Drosophila melanogaster: one gene and its partners. The protein of the gene in region 2 interacts with the protein of the main gene of each other region in a pairwise test. Each region holds a gene or a part of one and is shown on either strand. Other genes may lie near its edges.

Region 1 (3,517 bases), on a different chromosome or scaffold from region 2:
CTGAGGGTGTTTTCAGATTCGACGGAGTATGTTGGTGTTGGTCTAGGCGTTTTCGGATATTCGACGCGAAGACGACCATCGGAGAGTACAGATGGAAGCCTACGTTGGTCATCTAGCTCATCTGGTGGCCCTTTAGCAATGGAAGGATCAGACGAGGTCCTCTCCATCATGCGGACTGCTTCCGTAAAGCTAGCTTTGGGCCTGCGCATATGTGGTTGGTGGTCGGGACTTTCTGCTACTGCTTCTGAATGTGGACTCAAGCCTGTTGTTTGATTCTGCTCCCCCAATTGGGTTAATAGTTTCAATATTACATTTGTCGGATCTGAGGGTCCTGCTGGCTGGGATCTCTGGGCTGCCTCCACGGCTGCAGTGACCATTGCGCGTCCCAATGTTTCGTAAATCGTCCTTATATTTCCCACATCTGGCTGGTCAATGGTGTTAGTACATTGATCCCGATGTCCAGGAGTTGCCTTCTCTAATTTGACAAACTCTTTCTGCGCTACGTGGACTCTTAGAGGTTCCTCCGGGTTCAATGACTTGGCATGGCCACAGCAAGGACACTCCGTCGCCATCCTTGATCCTTGCTCATTGTTAAACCTCGGAGGTGGTATGTAGATGGGCATAATACGGTCTTCTGGTCGAAGAACATAGTACACCGGTGGAGGTTGGTTTATGCTGCGGGAGAAATGACGAAACTGGCTTTGCGAATTCTTCCGCTTGGGTGTCGCATATTCCTCGGGTCGGATTCTTAAATTCCTTCGAGGAGGAGGGACATCCGTTGGAGGTCTTACATTCGGGGCAATGGAGACCGATCGACAAGGTCGCTCTGTCGATGTTCTGGAATTGGGGAACAAGGGTATCGTCTGCACCGAAATGGGCATGGCCTGCATCTGTCCACAGGAACTGGGCTGTTGGGACACCAGCTGGATCATAATGGTGTTCGGTGGACCTGTGCCGCTGGTGACCCTCGACTCCATCGCTATGGGAGATTTATCACGAGCAATTTGTAATCATTAATATCGCAAATAATTAGTTGTGTGACACCTACTGCGATTTAATGTTATATTTTGGAGTTTTATATTTCGATATGTATGGTATACGGTATAGCGGATGGGTTGATTAAAAACCAGGTTAGTAGTGCGGTAGTGCTATCACCAACAGTTAAGGGTAGTATATTAATATAAATATAAATGCGTAATTCTAATGACTTGTTTGCGTTAAGAATGTGGGGTTCCCCACGGTTAAGTATTAGGTATTTGAATAGAAGCCCCCAAATTTAAATTTCGATTATAAACCTTACTGTCCTAGTTTTGTACTATATTTAACTTATTGATAGGAGTGCTACCCAGTTTGGATTGTGGCACGCGGCATGACCTTTACGACACATCCATATAATCAAACTATTGCGTCAACAAAACTTAGGGGCGCGTACAATGCGCTGAGATACAGATACAGATACGGTGGGCGATACAAGGTGCGATTATTTTGAAACGATTTCATGTCGCTGCCAAAATAGAATTTCGCACAGGCTTCCCGCCAACGGAGATAACTGCTATTGATGAAAGCCAATATCAGTGCCGGTCTGGGGTATATAAGCTTGCGAATTCGCCCAGTTAAAGCACACTTACGAAACCAGTGGGAACTCAATTGCACCATGAAGTCCGGTAAGTTAGCTGAGCAAATCGAAAAGGAATCCCCATTTGAAATATACTTCAACCCTTTGCCGATCCCATAGCACTACTTTTGATCTGCCTTGCCTTCTTCGTGGCGCTCCTAAGCACCGGAAATGCGTGCGATCCCAATTCTGACAACCAGCCCGACTGCAGCGACGCATCCAACGTGCAAACGAACATCCGCAACTTCTGGGATCCCACTCGCTACTGGTGGTGTGAGTCCTCCACCTCCACGGCCACGGCTGTGTTGTGCCCGTTGTCCACTGGATTCGACCCCACAAAGAAGGAGTGCGTTTCATGGAGCGAATGGTCTTGGACTGCTTACTGTTGATTGCATTTTTAATAACAACAAAAATGAAAATATATGGCAAACTAAATGATTACATACATTGTTTGGATTTTTAAAATATCTCATGTTCTTGCGAGTATTCGAAGATATGGGAAAATGTTATAGAGCAACCTAGATTGGTATATAGAATATTTTGTTTCTGCTCAGTCGCTTTCTATAGGATGTTGAGTACAGTTGAGTGTTAACGAGTTTCATTATTATTTGTAAATAACATTTTTGAGATGTTTTTGTCCAAATGATATCTTGGAAACCTATAAAGATTAGACAGTACTCGTATTGCTACTAATTTGCATTTAATGCAATAAAATGTTTATGAACGAGAGAAAAGTAAATTATACTTTATCATATAAAGTATAAACAATATACTTTAATTTTACAAACAACTTTATTTTTTAACTAGAGCTTGGTTTCAAAATTTGTTTGTTTATTTCAAAAACACTGTGTCTCAGTGTGTAAAGTTTTACAGGGTATAAATTGTCTAAATAGGAGCCGGTCAATTCAAACAAATCATATGCAAATTTTTTGTTCAATAATATTTTAATATCATAACTAAGTATACTACAACACTTGGTGAAATATACTTCTTTGTTTGAAAACGAATTGTACGACGGCGTCAAATGTTCGAATTGTCGAGATACAGATACCAATCGTGATCATGAGATTATTTTTAAACGATTTCATGTTCTTTAAGAAATAGAATGTATAGCTCCGATTGTCTCAGACAATATGTCAGGGAATAGATAGCAGGTGGCTATAAAATGTCGAACGTTGCGTTCCAATCGCATTCGGTATTAATCACTCGAACAAACCACAATGAAAGCAGGTGAGTTTCATTGATGACCTCACATCGCTGAAACCATTGAGATGCCAATAGCGGAATTCTGTTTCAGCTTTAGTCCTTCTCTTCCTGACCCTCTGCGTTGCCATCTACGCCGACCTTGACTGCAATCCCGATGGCAATGGTGAGCCCGATTGCGTGGGACGCTCCGGAGAGATTTCCCGTGACTTCTGGGATCCAACCCACTACTGGCAGTGCTCTAGCACCGGACAGGCCGAGCTAGTTGCCTGCGAGCAGAACACTGGATTCGATCCGAAAACTGGAAGCTGCGTCGATTGGAGCGTTTGGCAGTGGTATCCTCCATGTTCCGAAGCATCCACTTAAGCAATAAACTTCTCTTGCAGTTTATACGTTTTTCATTAACTTTTTTTGGTTCATTTGTAATGGTATTTAACTGGGAAGATGGGCTTGAATGAAGTCTAGAATATATCTCTAGATTTCTCGGATCTTTATCGAATTTTTAACAGAGTATTTAATGCTTGAAAAGGTTAATGTTCCGGGTGATTATCTCGTTGGGAAGTGTAAAAAAAAGGGTTAGTCCGAGGAGGAATTAAATAATTGATCTCACAGACTATTAGCCCTCGAAATGTACAAGTACGCAACTTGCATTTTCTCCATTTTCGCTTTATGGAACTTTTGGGGCGTCAGTGCCAAAAA
Region 2 (5,843 bases):
CGCAAATAGCGACGCGGGCAGGGGGGTCCTGATCCCAGGAGCTCGCCCCGCGGCAGGATGCTCAGCAGGGCCACGAGTGCAGTCAGGAGATGCTTCATTTCGCTCGCTTCCGCCGGTGCACAGTGAGCCGGCTCAAATCGCCTCCTGTACTTATATCCTCCGCTGGCCAGCAGTGCGCCCAATCGATTTGGAGCTCGCTGGAGCTGGAGCGGCATCTTCGGCAGCATGGCCAATTCAATTACAAGTCCATGCCGCCGGAATGCCTACGCCAATGTCGTGGGCTAATTTGCTCACCCGCCAGTGGGTCAGGTTTAGGGTCATTCAGTTTAATTGGCTATTAGATACACTCGAAGAAAACGAGCCGGAAAAGTCGCATGGGGTGCTGTAATTGCCAGTAATGTTAACCCTCTAAATTCCTTGATGGCAATTCATCCGCCTAATAATGGGCATATTGCGAGTAACTATTATATCATATATAGATGTTATAAAATTGTAATACAAGTTTAATGCAAATAAATTAAAAGATTATATATATGGTTTTGAAATAAGCAATAATTCTTAGCAGTATTCTAACTCATTCGAAGGTAGCAGAGCTTTCTTCTTCTGGAGTATGATGATGATAGATGGATATAAAATGCTTCAGTTCCTTTGACCCTGATCTGTCCTCCCATTTAGTTTGTATCTGCCGAAGTGAGTTAATTGCTGGCTATGAACTCGCTGGTAATCTTCAACAGCTCAAAAACGCTAAGAATATTAAGTTCTGTGATTCGAGCAACTGGAGTGACTTCATAGTCATTAGCATAACCCGCCCGAAGGGCTAGATGTCTGACCCGGCCTTGTTCTTTCCGATTATTGATTTACCTGGCAGGGTCGTGACATCAGCCATTGGATTGTCCGTGGCCAGGACACGAATCGCCCGCCTTTCCTTCTGTTGCCAGCTGACTCAGACGACCTTCGGTCGGATGACGATTGCGCCGGGTGGCCACAACAATTCGTGGGGCGTGTGAGTACCACGCCACCCCTTTCTGCCACGCGCGCTACTCTCACATATATAATTCTTTCGTATATTGTATCTCGATTGTGCAGTTGTATCTCACATGACATCATCAGCAATGGCAACAACAACGGCGGCCCCAGTAGCTCCATCGATTCATCACGGATTGTAGCTCTTTTTTTTAAGGCATCCAGAACTGGTGTGGAACGTGAGTCGGCAGACCTCAAATCGCAGTAACTCATAGATATTCGTTCCATGCCCGTATGTGTGTCCGTTCCGAGCTGGGTTCCCATGTAGCCCAAGCTACAGCTACAGCTACAGGTTTTCCTCTATCCGAGGCTTCTGCGCATTATTTCAGCTGCGAGTGCGACATCGACGAAAACAAAATCAGAGAGCAAAATCAAAATCCAAAACTAAAACCAAACCAAAACCAAAACAAAAACGACGCCAGAGGCTGTGAGAGAATCTGGGCTTATTGTGTTACCTTTTGGCCATGCTTCTAGCCGGTTTTCAGTGTTGACCACAAGTTGCCACAGTTTTGAATAAAGACTGAAGAACAAAATGCGTCGTATTACGCAAATGCCTTAAATAGGGCCGCTGGCCTTAGGAATTCCGCGTGTGTAAGCCATTAAGATATATATGTACATATATCCAAAGGATTTGGCGGGGAATATTAAACACTGCGGTTGCCTTATACGTAAGGCCACCTTTTTTAAGTTTAATAACTTATCATTCTACGAATGTATTTTAAGTATCTTTAAATACGATTTTAATTTGGAAAACAGCACAATATACTTAGCATGCATCTCTATACATATAGTTACATATTGTACAGTGTAGATTGCACGATTCCTTCCACTTAAATTGCTATTCTAGATTCTAGATTGTTAAGCAAGTCCAATGCCACATACATACATTCCTTAGCCATTAGCCATTAGCATTTGAAATGTCTGAATTCCCTTTGATTCACCCTGTTTTTTTTGAGCAGTAAAAGTAATTTTCAACACCTCGGCCGAGCCCACACATTCCATAATCTCGATACCCAGCAAGCGTAGAATAGAAACTATTATTTTCGCACAATTTTCGGCTCCTGCGGTGGCGATTGGCTCATTAAATGCGAAATGCGAAATGCGAAATTGGCCGAAACTAAATTATTTGGAAATGAGCCGAGTGTATGGGGCCATTAAAGTATCTCTGCGGAGAGAACCGAATCAGAATAAACACATTCCCGATCACAATCAGAAAGCGTGAATAGACCGCACTAGAAACTTGGGGGCGATTTCATTCGCCGGCTGCCCATTATGACATCACATACGCCGAATAATTTGAATACTCGAGCTTTGTTTGCCTCATTCGCATACAAGCATACTGTATATTACAAAGAAATTCCTCGGCTATTTCCGCCCGTTTCCGTTTCGCCCAACCGATTCGCACCCGGTTCCGAGTTGAGCGGCACAATGTTTCTATTTGAGTGGACGCACACGTCACTCCCAGTGAATGCAGATTCGAGGGGACAGCAAAAGCTGGCGCTCGTTAATTTCTATTAAATTGCGAATATAAGTCTCAAGTCTCGAATTTTAAGGCTGACGCCATGGGGCTGGCGATCACGATTTCAACAGCCCCTAGTTGCGCAGTTTCTATTAATAGGAAAGTGTCCCAGTCTAATCGATCCGATTTAGTCATGTAAATAGTTCATGCTCCAGCTGCTTTGTTTATGTTTCGGCAATTACCTGTCTGGAATTTGGAATCTGAAATCTCAAATCTCGCATCTTCGATCTGATCGGCGCTCCACCCTGCTGATTGCAATCAGGCTATAAATTATAATTAGCGCCAGGCCAGAGCTTAGTTAGCATTCAGAGGGCCAGTCAGCATGTTTCCTAGTCGCCAAAACCAAAGTAATCCCATCCAGCCAGCACAGTCAGGATCTAAAATGCACTCCTCATTCAATCCCCAGCTTCCTTGAAGAACTTCGGTGACAAGACCGCCAACCTCTTCAGCAAGAAGAAGGATGAGGCCGAGAAGCTGGCCAACGAGAAGGCTGCCGAGGCCCAGAAGCTAGCCGAGGAGCAGGCCAAGAAGGTGGGCCAGTCCGTACAGCAGACCAAGGGCGAGGCCGAGCAGTTGGCCGCCAGCACGGGTGAGTAACGAACATCCAAAAAATAATGAATGTAACACATAAAAGATGTCTTAGAGAATTAATTGGAGTTATTAATTCTAAAGACTTCCAAAAACTCTTGCAACGAAGAATTGAATGAGTCCCGTTTGAGATAACTTTCAAAATCAACTTTCAGTTCTTGCTAAAAATGTTTTCTCATTAGCATTCCATTTCCAATTTATCTAAAACGCAAATCTTTTAAGCATATCAAACACAAGAGAACTTAATAAATGGAATTCTTTAGTGACGCGTTGACGTAAAACATGTTTCCAAGAATAAGATTCGCATTTTTGAAAACATTTCTTCATAAATATTGAAATATTTCTATAATTGTGAAAAGCAATTTAATGTGCTAGAGATTTATAACTAAACAGAACATCAATGCTATGTTTTATGCTGGAGCAAAGCCCGACCAATTCAATAAATATCTTTAGGAGCACTTTTAAAGATATTTTGTAAGAATTTTTCCCACTAATATCTCTCTTTATCATACAGCCAAGGAAGCCGCTGCTCTGGCCACCGCGGAGGCTCAGAAGGCTGGACAGGCGATTGACCAGGGTGTGAACCGTGCCGCCGGAGCCGTCAACCAAGGCAAGCAGGCGGTGGACAACACGGTGGCCCAGGCGGCGGCCGTGGCCCAGAACTCCAAGCAGGTGGCGGCCAATGTGGCGGAGGCCTCCCAGCGAGCGGCCGCCAATGCGGTGGACCAGACCAAGAAGGCGGCCAACGACGCCATCAACAAGAGCGTGAAGGCCGCCGAGAACGTGGCGGACCAGAAGCTGAAGCAGGCGGAGGGCGCCATCGATGGGGCACTGAAGCAGACCAGTCAAACGGTGGACCAGAAGCTGCAGGAGGCCAACCAGTATGTCGACCAGAAGCGCCAGTCCGTCGAGAAGACCGTCCAGGATGCGGCCGGACAGGCCCAGGAGTCTGCCGGACAGCAGGCCAACGCCCTGTTGGGCAAGCTGCATCTGGGTCAGAAGTAGAGGCGTCTCCCTTCGCGGTGCCACCTAAAATATCTTGATGTGAAAATGCTTTAGATACAAAAACAAAAAAAATAGAAAGGAATTTGCTTCAATGTAACGAGTGCCAGTAATGTGATTGCTAAATCCTCAATTGAATATACACAATATATATATATATATATATTTACATATTTTTTGAATATCGCGCGGACGGATTATTTTGCAGCCGCTGCTTTCGATGTGAGCATTTCAGCACATCCTCTGTCCGTATCCGTACAAAGTGTAATTAACCCCTTCGTTCTTCTTCTTCGGCCGAATTTTGTTACTTTGAGGCATTTGATATTTTATATACAGCTGCGCTGAGTATGCTTTTAATATACGTATATTCTGTTTATGTAGAGATGTATGATTAAGTACCTTTAACTCTTGCACAACACATTGCAAATGTGTTTTTAATATATTGGATTCGAATGAGATTTGTGGTCTTTCAATTGGTGGGGGTGCCACTAAGCAAAGCGTATTATATGTATATATTTGGATATACTGATGTTATGTTGATTATATTATTACTGAAACTTTTATTAACTCATTTTCAATTTAGCGCCAAATGGTGATGTATGGTAATACTGTAATCTGGCCACACTGAATTTACTTCGGCTGCAAGCGCAAATAGCGCCACCTACATGTGGGATAGAACGCTGAATGGTTTGAAAACAGGGTATCCATGTTTTATCTCGCTTTTACCGTTTCATTCAAAAAAATTAAATTACTTTTTAATGAAGTTTTCAAACTACAAGTTTACTTGATGTATTTATTTGGGCTTACTATTTAATTACTGACTTATCTTGGCCATTGGTTGTTCAGAAAATAATATTATTTCTGGACATATTTTGAGCATATAATTACAGCTATATACAATTTCTTTAATAAAACCAATAAATCAGTTATAAATTCTACACATTCCACTGTTCACCCAAAAGTGGTAACATTTTATTTTGCTTCTAAGACAAAAGAAGTTTTTTCCGGCTTACCCTTTCCCCTTCCTCCAGAGCTGCCTGTCTCATTACAGAACCTTTTCACAGATCCAAGGTGAGCAGCAGGGGAAACTTTCGCAGAAAAGCGGACCATGGAGATGGACGGATCTATACAAATAGACCGAAACATGCAGAAATCTGCTAATAGAAGAGGTCATATTGTGTACTCCGATATGTCGGGCAACTTTTCGTCGAACAGAAGCCGAAAGTTGTGTTAGGTTTTAATTATGGGAAAAGTTTGTTGTGGCTAACAAGTGACCCCGGTGCATTGCAACGTCAATTGAACGCACAACTTCAAAGGACCAAAGGACGAAAGGACCAAAGGACGAAAGGACGCTAGGAATGTGTGCAAAGTATTGGCAGCAAAGTGCTGACATAAATTCAGGTAAGAGCGATTTTTAATTTCAGATAAGTGCGCCTGCTGACTGGAAAGGCGAATGATAAATGCATTCCATTTGCGATTCAAGTACTAGTGGGTGCGAGGCGCCAAATTCAAATTTATGCCGGCCACGCAAAAGTCGCGCCAATTAGGTTAGCCCAAGCGAGTTGATTTAAAGTTAAGCGATACGAGCGGCGCGATTAATTACAATAACTGTTTATCAACACATATTAATCATGGTTTAACATGCTCCCAGCTCGTGTTGACCCAAGCAAAATGGCGTGCAGCGGAGTTCCGGTCATGTTGGGTATGCCCA
Region 3 (3,961 bases), on a different chromosome or scaffold from region 2:
ATAGCTGTGCTCACCGGACAAAATAGTACAGTGCATGTTTATTTAACTTTTTTTTCGCTGTACTTAAGGTTCCAAAAATAAACATTTGTTTAAAAGAGGCAAAGGAAATATGTAGAAAGCTTGAGTAAGTTTGATACATTTAGGTTGAAAAATAGTTTTAAAAGTAGAATTATATGTTATTACCAAACGCCCCGAAATATTTTACATCTATGAAAATCATGTCATTGTATAGATTCGATTTGTTAAAATTTAGAACCCTTTTGCCCGTTTTTTCGACCAGAGTTTAGGTATATTCGCTAAGAACGAAGTTAGCACAAGGATCGAGGATGGGTCACCGCAACATTTGCTGCAACGGCTGTCAAATGACGATCTTCCAGGGTAGCCGCTTCCGGTGTTTGCGCTGCGTGAACTATAACCTATGTGACATATGCTACGATCATCAGATAGAAACGGAAGAGCATCGCGCCAATCATCCCATGCAATTGTTCCCTGACTCGGACGATCTGGTTCCGCTGCTTTACGGCGAAATCCCAGAGCTGGTCCACCTGTCCAATTGCTTCACCTGTCCACATTGCGGCCTACTTGCGCTCACAGCGAAGCGGTTCATCGAACATGTTTACGTTCAACATCGGGTGTCCAATGAATATGTGGTCTGCCCCATGTGCGCCGGACTGTCGGCCGCCGAACTGGTGGCCATACGCCACCTTTCCAAACATCTCCTGCACAACCACATCGATCACGCCAATTACCTAGAGCCCGACACACCGCCACTACGCCGAATATTTACCCGTAATCACATGCGCCACCACCGCCAATCGCAGTTGCAAACAACTCCGAATTCAAGGATATTCGATATATCCGTATGGCTGTCAACTGGACGTGTGAGCTCCGATCCCCAGCTCCTAAGCAACAATGATCCTCCAGAGGAGGCAGCCAATTCAGAGTCCCTGGCGTTAGGCTTGAGTTCCGGGGGGCCATTCGAACACGACGACGACAGATATGTTCTACTTCAGTGGATTGCACAGCAAAAAGTGCAGTGCCACGATACGGACGAATCTCAAAGGCTGCGGCGAACCCTCTTCGTTGAGCACTTGCTGATTTCCATGCTGTGCTGCGAGGAGTTGCAGTTGCCGGATGGAGACAGACGAATACGGGAAGGAAATGGGGAGAGTGATCTAGACCAGGAAAACCATAGCAGTCTGGTCAAGGTCATGTCAGTGATGTCACTGCCGTGGACAGGAGTTTGGCAGACCAACCAGCTAGACGGATCGGAGGGGGAAGGCGAGATACGGGCAGCCAAAAAAGATGGAGTCGATCTGGACAAGGTGCAGATCGAGGAGCACAAAAGGGTGGCTGCTGAGGAGGCCATTGATTAGGATACTCGAAATTGTATCTGTTTTTTCAATCATGTTGAATCCGCTTTTTAGTTGCGTTACATATTTCAAAGAAAAACAAAATTTTTGTGAAAATTTGGCTTATATTTATAATATGGCTTTTATATTTTGGCTTTTATTTATATTTACAATGTTTTAAGTAAAACCATTTGAACATCTGAAAGAGAAGATATTTCCCGTTGTCCCTTATGTTAAGTGTATTTATTTCTGGGCACTATTTAATAAATATAAATGAATAATAAATATAAATTTATTTTCATAAAACTCATAAATTTTCGAGAACGATAAAGTAAAAAATTCCAATTGTTTTTTTATCATAAAGGTGTCATATTTTTATTGAGGTATCTGCGTTAAGACGGTGCTATGAATTGGTTTTTACCAGCCTTGTTGCTGTTGCTGCTGCTGATCACCGAATCCACCTCCGAATCCACCTCCAAATCCTCCTTGCTGCTGCTGCTGCTGATCACCGAATCCACCTCCGAATCCACCGCCAAATCCTCCTTGCTGCTGCTGCTGATCACCAAATCCACCTCCAAATCCTCCTTGCTGCTGCTGCTGCTGATCACCGAATCCACCGCCGAATCCAAACTGAGGTAGGGCAGCGGCCGCGGCGAATAGGGCAATGAAGAGGATCTGTAACAATATTAAAATCAACTTAGTTCTTAAAGGTTTTTCTTTGAAGCGTATATGTAAAACGTACCAAAAACTTCATGGTGCTGATACTTCGGTTAGTCTTGCTAATGTGAATAAAATTTTTGGACGCCTCCGATCTTTTATACTCTCCTGCAATCTCATCATGTCGTCACGCGCCGAAGTATTATCAATGTTCTGACAAAATCAAGTACAATTAACCCAACAAAAATACGAAAAAAATTTCCAGACGTCTGGGAAATTAATATTTGAGCACTGTATCAATGCCTATGCTCAACGGGGGGAACCCTTCAACATCAATCTTATCTGGGAAGTCGAGCCTAATCTAATAAGTCCGCAACAGTTGCTAAGAAAAACTAAGGGCGACTTAGAAGAAGACGTTGTTTGAGATTACTTTAGATCATTTATGTTCCGTTTTCACGCATCACAAACGTGTTACGGCAACAAATGTTCTTGTTTGCTTTTCTGGGTTATCATTAGACTTTCGAAATGAGGAGGGATAATTAAGTATGAAATCCTTGTAATCATGGATTAATTTTTTATACATACGTATAATTATGTTATGTCTTTGAATTTTAGCGCTTAACAGGTTAGACCACTATAGTCGCATTCCTCGATTATCAGATACCCATTTCTTAGCTAATAGAAGAACTAAGATATTTACAAGACAAGACTAGATGAAATCAATGAAGAATCTAGAGTGTTGTTGGCACAGGTTCTGAAAGAATTGGAACTATTTAGAGGTCTGAATCTCATTCAGTTCATACAGACAGGCTTACAGACAGATGGCCAAACGAATACGGCTAGATAGACTCCGCTGGTGATGCTGGTGAAGAATATATATATTCTGTATAGGTAAAGGTTCGGCAACGCCTTCTTCGAACTCCCACAGACTTTTTAAAGAATTTGGTATACTCAATTACTCCACAAGTACCGTCTATAAAAACATAGAAATTATGTGTCTTAAAAAATTGTATTTATTAAACTAATAAGACTAGTTTATTTCTTTACATCCTTTTTTTTAAAGAAATATTATTTGTATTTTTTTTCGCTGTGTTTGGTTACATTCAAAAACATTTAAAATTTTCCAAACCAATTGTACTTTTTTTGAGAGCAAATTCAGCCTAAAAGAATACTGTTAAGCTTGTGAATTTAAATGCAGCGCTAAAAAGTCTTCGCCGTTTCTTATACTTTTTTTTTAGTGGCAATTGAAAAGCTTTTAATCGGTATATAGCTAATCAGCTCCAAAATAAGCAAAACAAATTAACAAGAAGAAAGATCAGGCTAAAGGTCCTCAACCCCTGATCAGAAATCAGCTCTGTTAATGCAGTGCTAGAATTTTGCTACCTCATCGCAGACGCTTAATCTAATAATCACAGCTTGGGGTATATAGATTTCGATAGGAAATAATAAGCAAAAAATAAGAAAATTTTGTTTTTATTACTTTGTTTTGGTGCAAATCGCTCCATTCGGCTTCCACCTGCTATATGTTTATTAAACATCTTATTTTTAAGAGTGTACTGAATCCACCACAATGGTCGCCGAAAGGGGGTGGTGCAAGGGCGGAGGTGCATGAAGCCGGAAAACTTCTATTACAACTGCCGCGCACCAAGTCGGGAAAATTAAAAAGAAGAGAGCGAGATGGAGATTCAAACCGAGACAGAGACAGAAGAGTAACTAATGGCACAACAGCCACATTTAGAACCGATGTGTTCAACGCAATACCTACTAAAATAGCAATTTTTGTGGATTTTTTGGGTTTTGAATTTTATGTGTACACACACTGAAGCTGTATTACATTTGGACATATGTATAATTATAAATTCAAGCTAAATTTTCAGCTCAAGGGAAGTTTAATTTTCGATAACTGCATTCTGATTTGAGCAAATATAAAATATCCTTTGAGTTATCTTCTA

What was found. The genes of interacting proteins can lie anywhere in the genome.
Region 1: the proteins of CG1648 (region 2) and Peritrophin-15a interact in a two-hybrid assay, tested with the Drosophila melanogaster proteins (one large-scale study listed by BioGRID).
Region 3: the proteins of CG1648 (region 2) and CG31775 interact in a two-hybrid assay, tested with the Drosophila melanogaster proteins (one large-scale study listed by BioGRID).

The regions. Positions count from the first base shown.
Region 1 is NT_033779.5:8,394,200-8,397,716, reverse strand, and holds Peritrophin-15a (Peritrophin-15a), read left to right. Parts: upstream 1-1,620; 5' UTR 1,621-1,654; coding exon 1,655-1,664; intron 1,665-1,735; coding exon 1,736-2,004; 3' UTR 2,005-2,052; downstream 2,053-3,517. Other genes in the region: CG13385 (uncharacterized protein), read right to left, coding at 1-977; Peritrophin-15b, read left to right, coding at 2,836-2,845, 2,913-3,184; lectin-29Ca, read left to right, coding at 3,447-3,517.
Region 2 is NT_033778.4:9,809,770-9,815,612, reverse strand, and holds CG1648 (uncharacterized protein), read left to right. Parts: upstream 1-2,838; 5' UTR 2,839-2,864; coding exon 2,865-2,889; intron 2,890-2,948; coding exon 2,949-3,131; intron 3,132-3,644; coding exon 3,645-4,135; 3' UTR 4,136-4,294; downstream 4,295-5,843. Other genes in the region: lectin-46Cb, read right to left, coding at 1-98.
Region 3 is NT_033779.5:14,735,625-14,739,585, forward strand, and holds CG31775 (uncharacterized protein), read right to left. Parts: upstream 2,146-3,961; 5' UTR 2,107-2,145; coding exon 2,095-2,106; intron 2,028-2,094; coding exon 1,770-2,027; 3' UTR 1,466-1,769; downstream 1-1,465. Other genes in the region: CG31835 (uncharacterized protein), read left to right, coding at 327-1,376.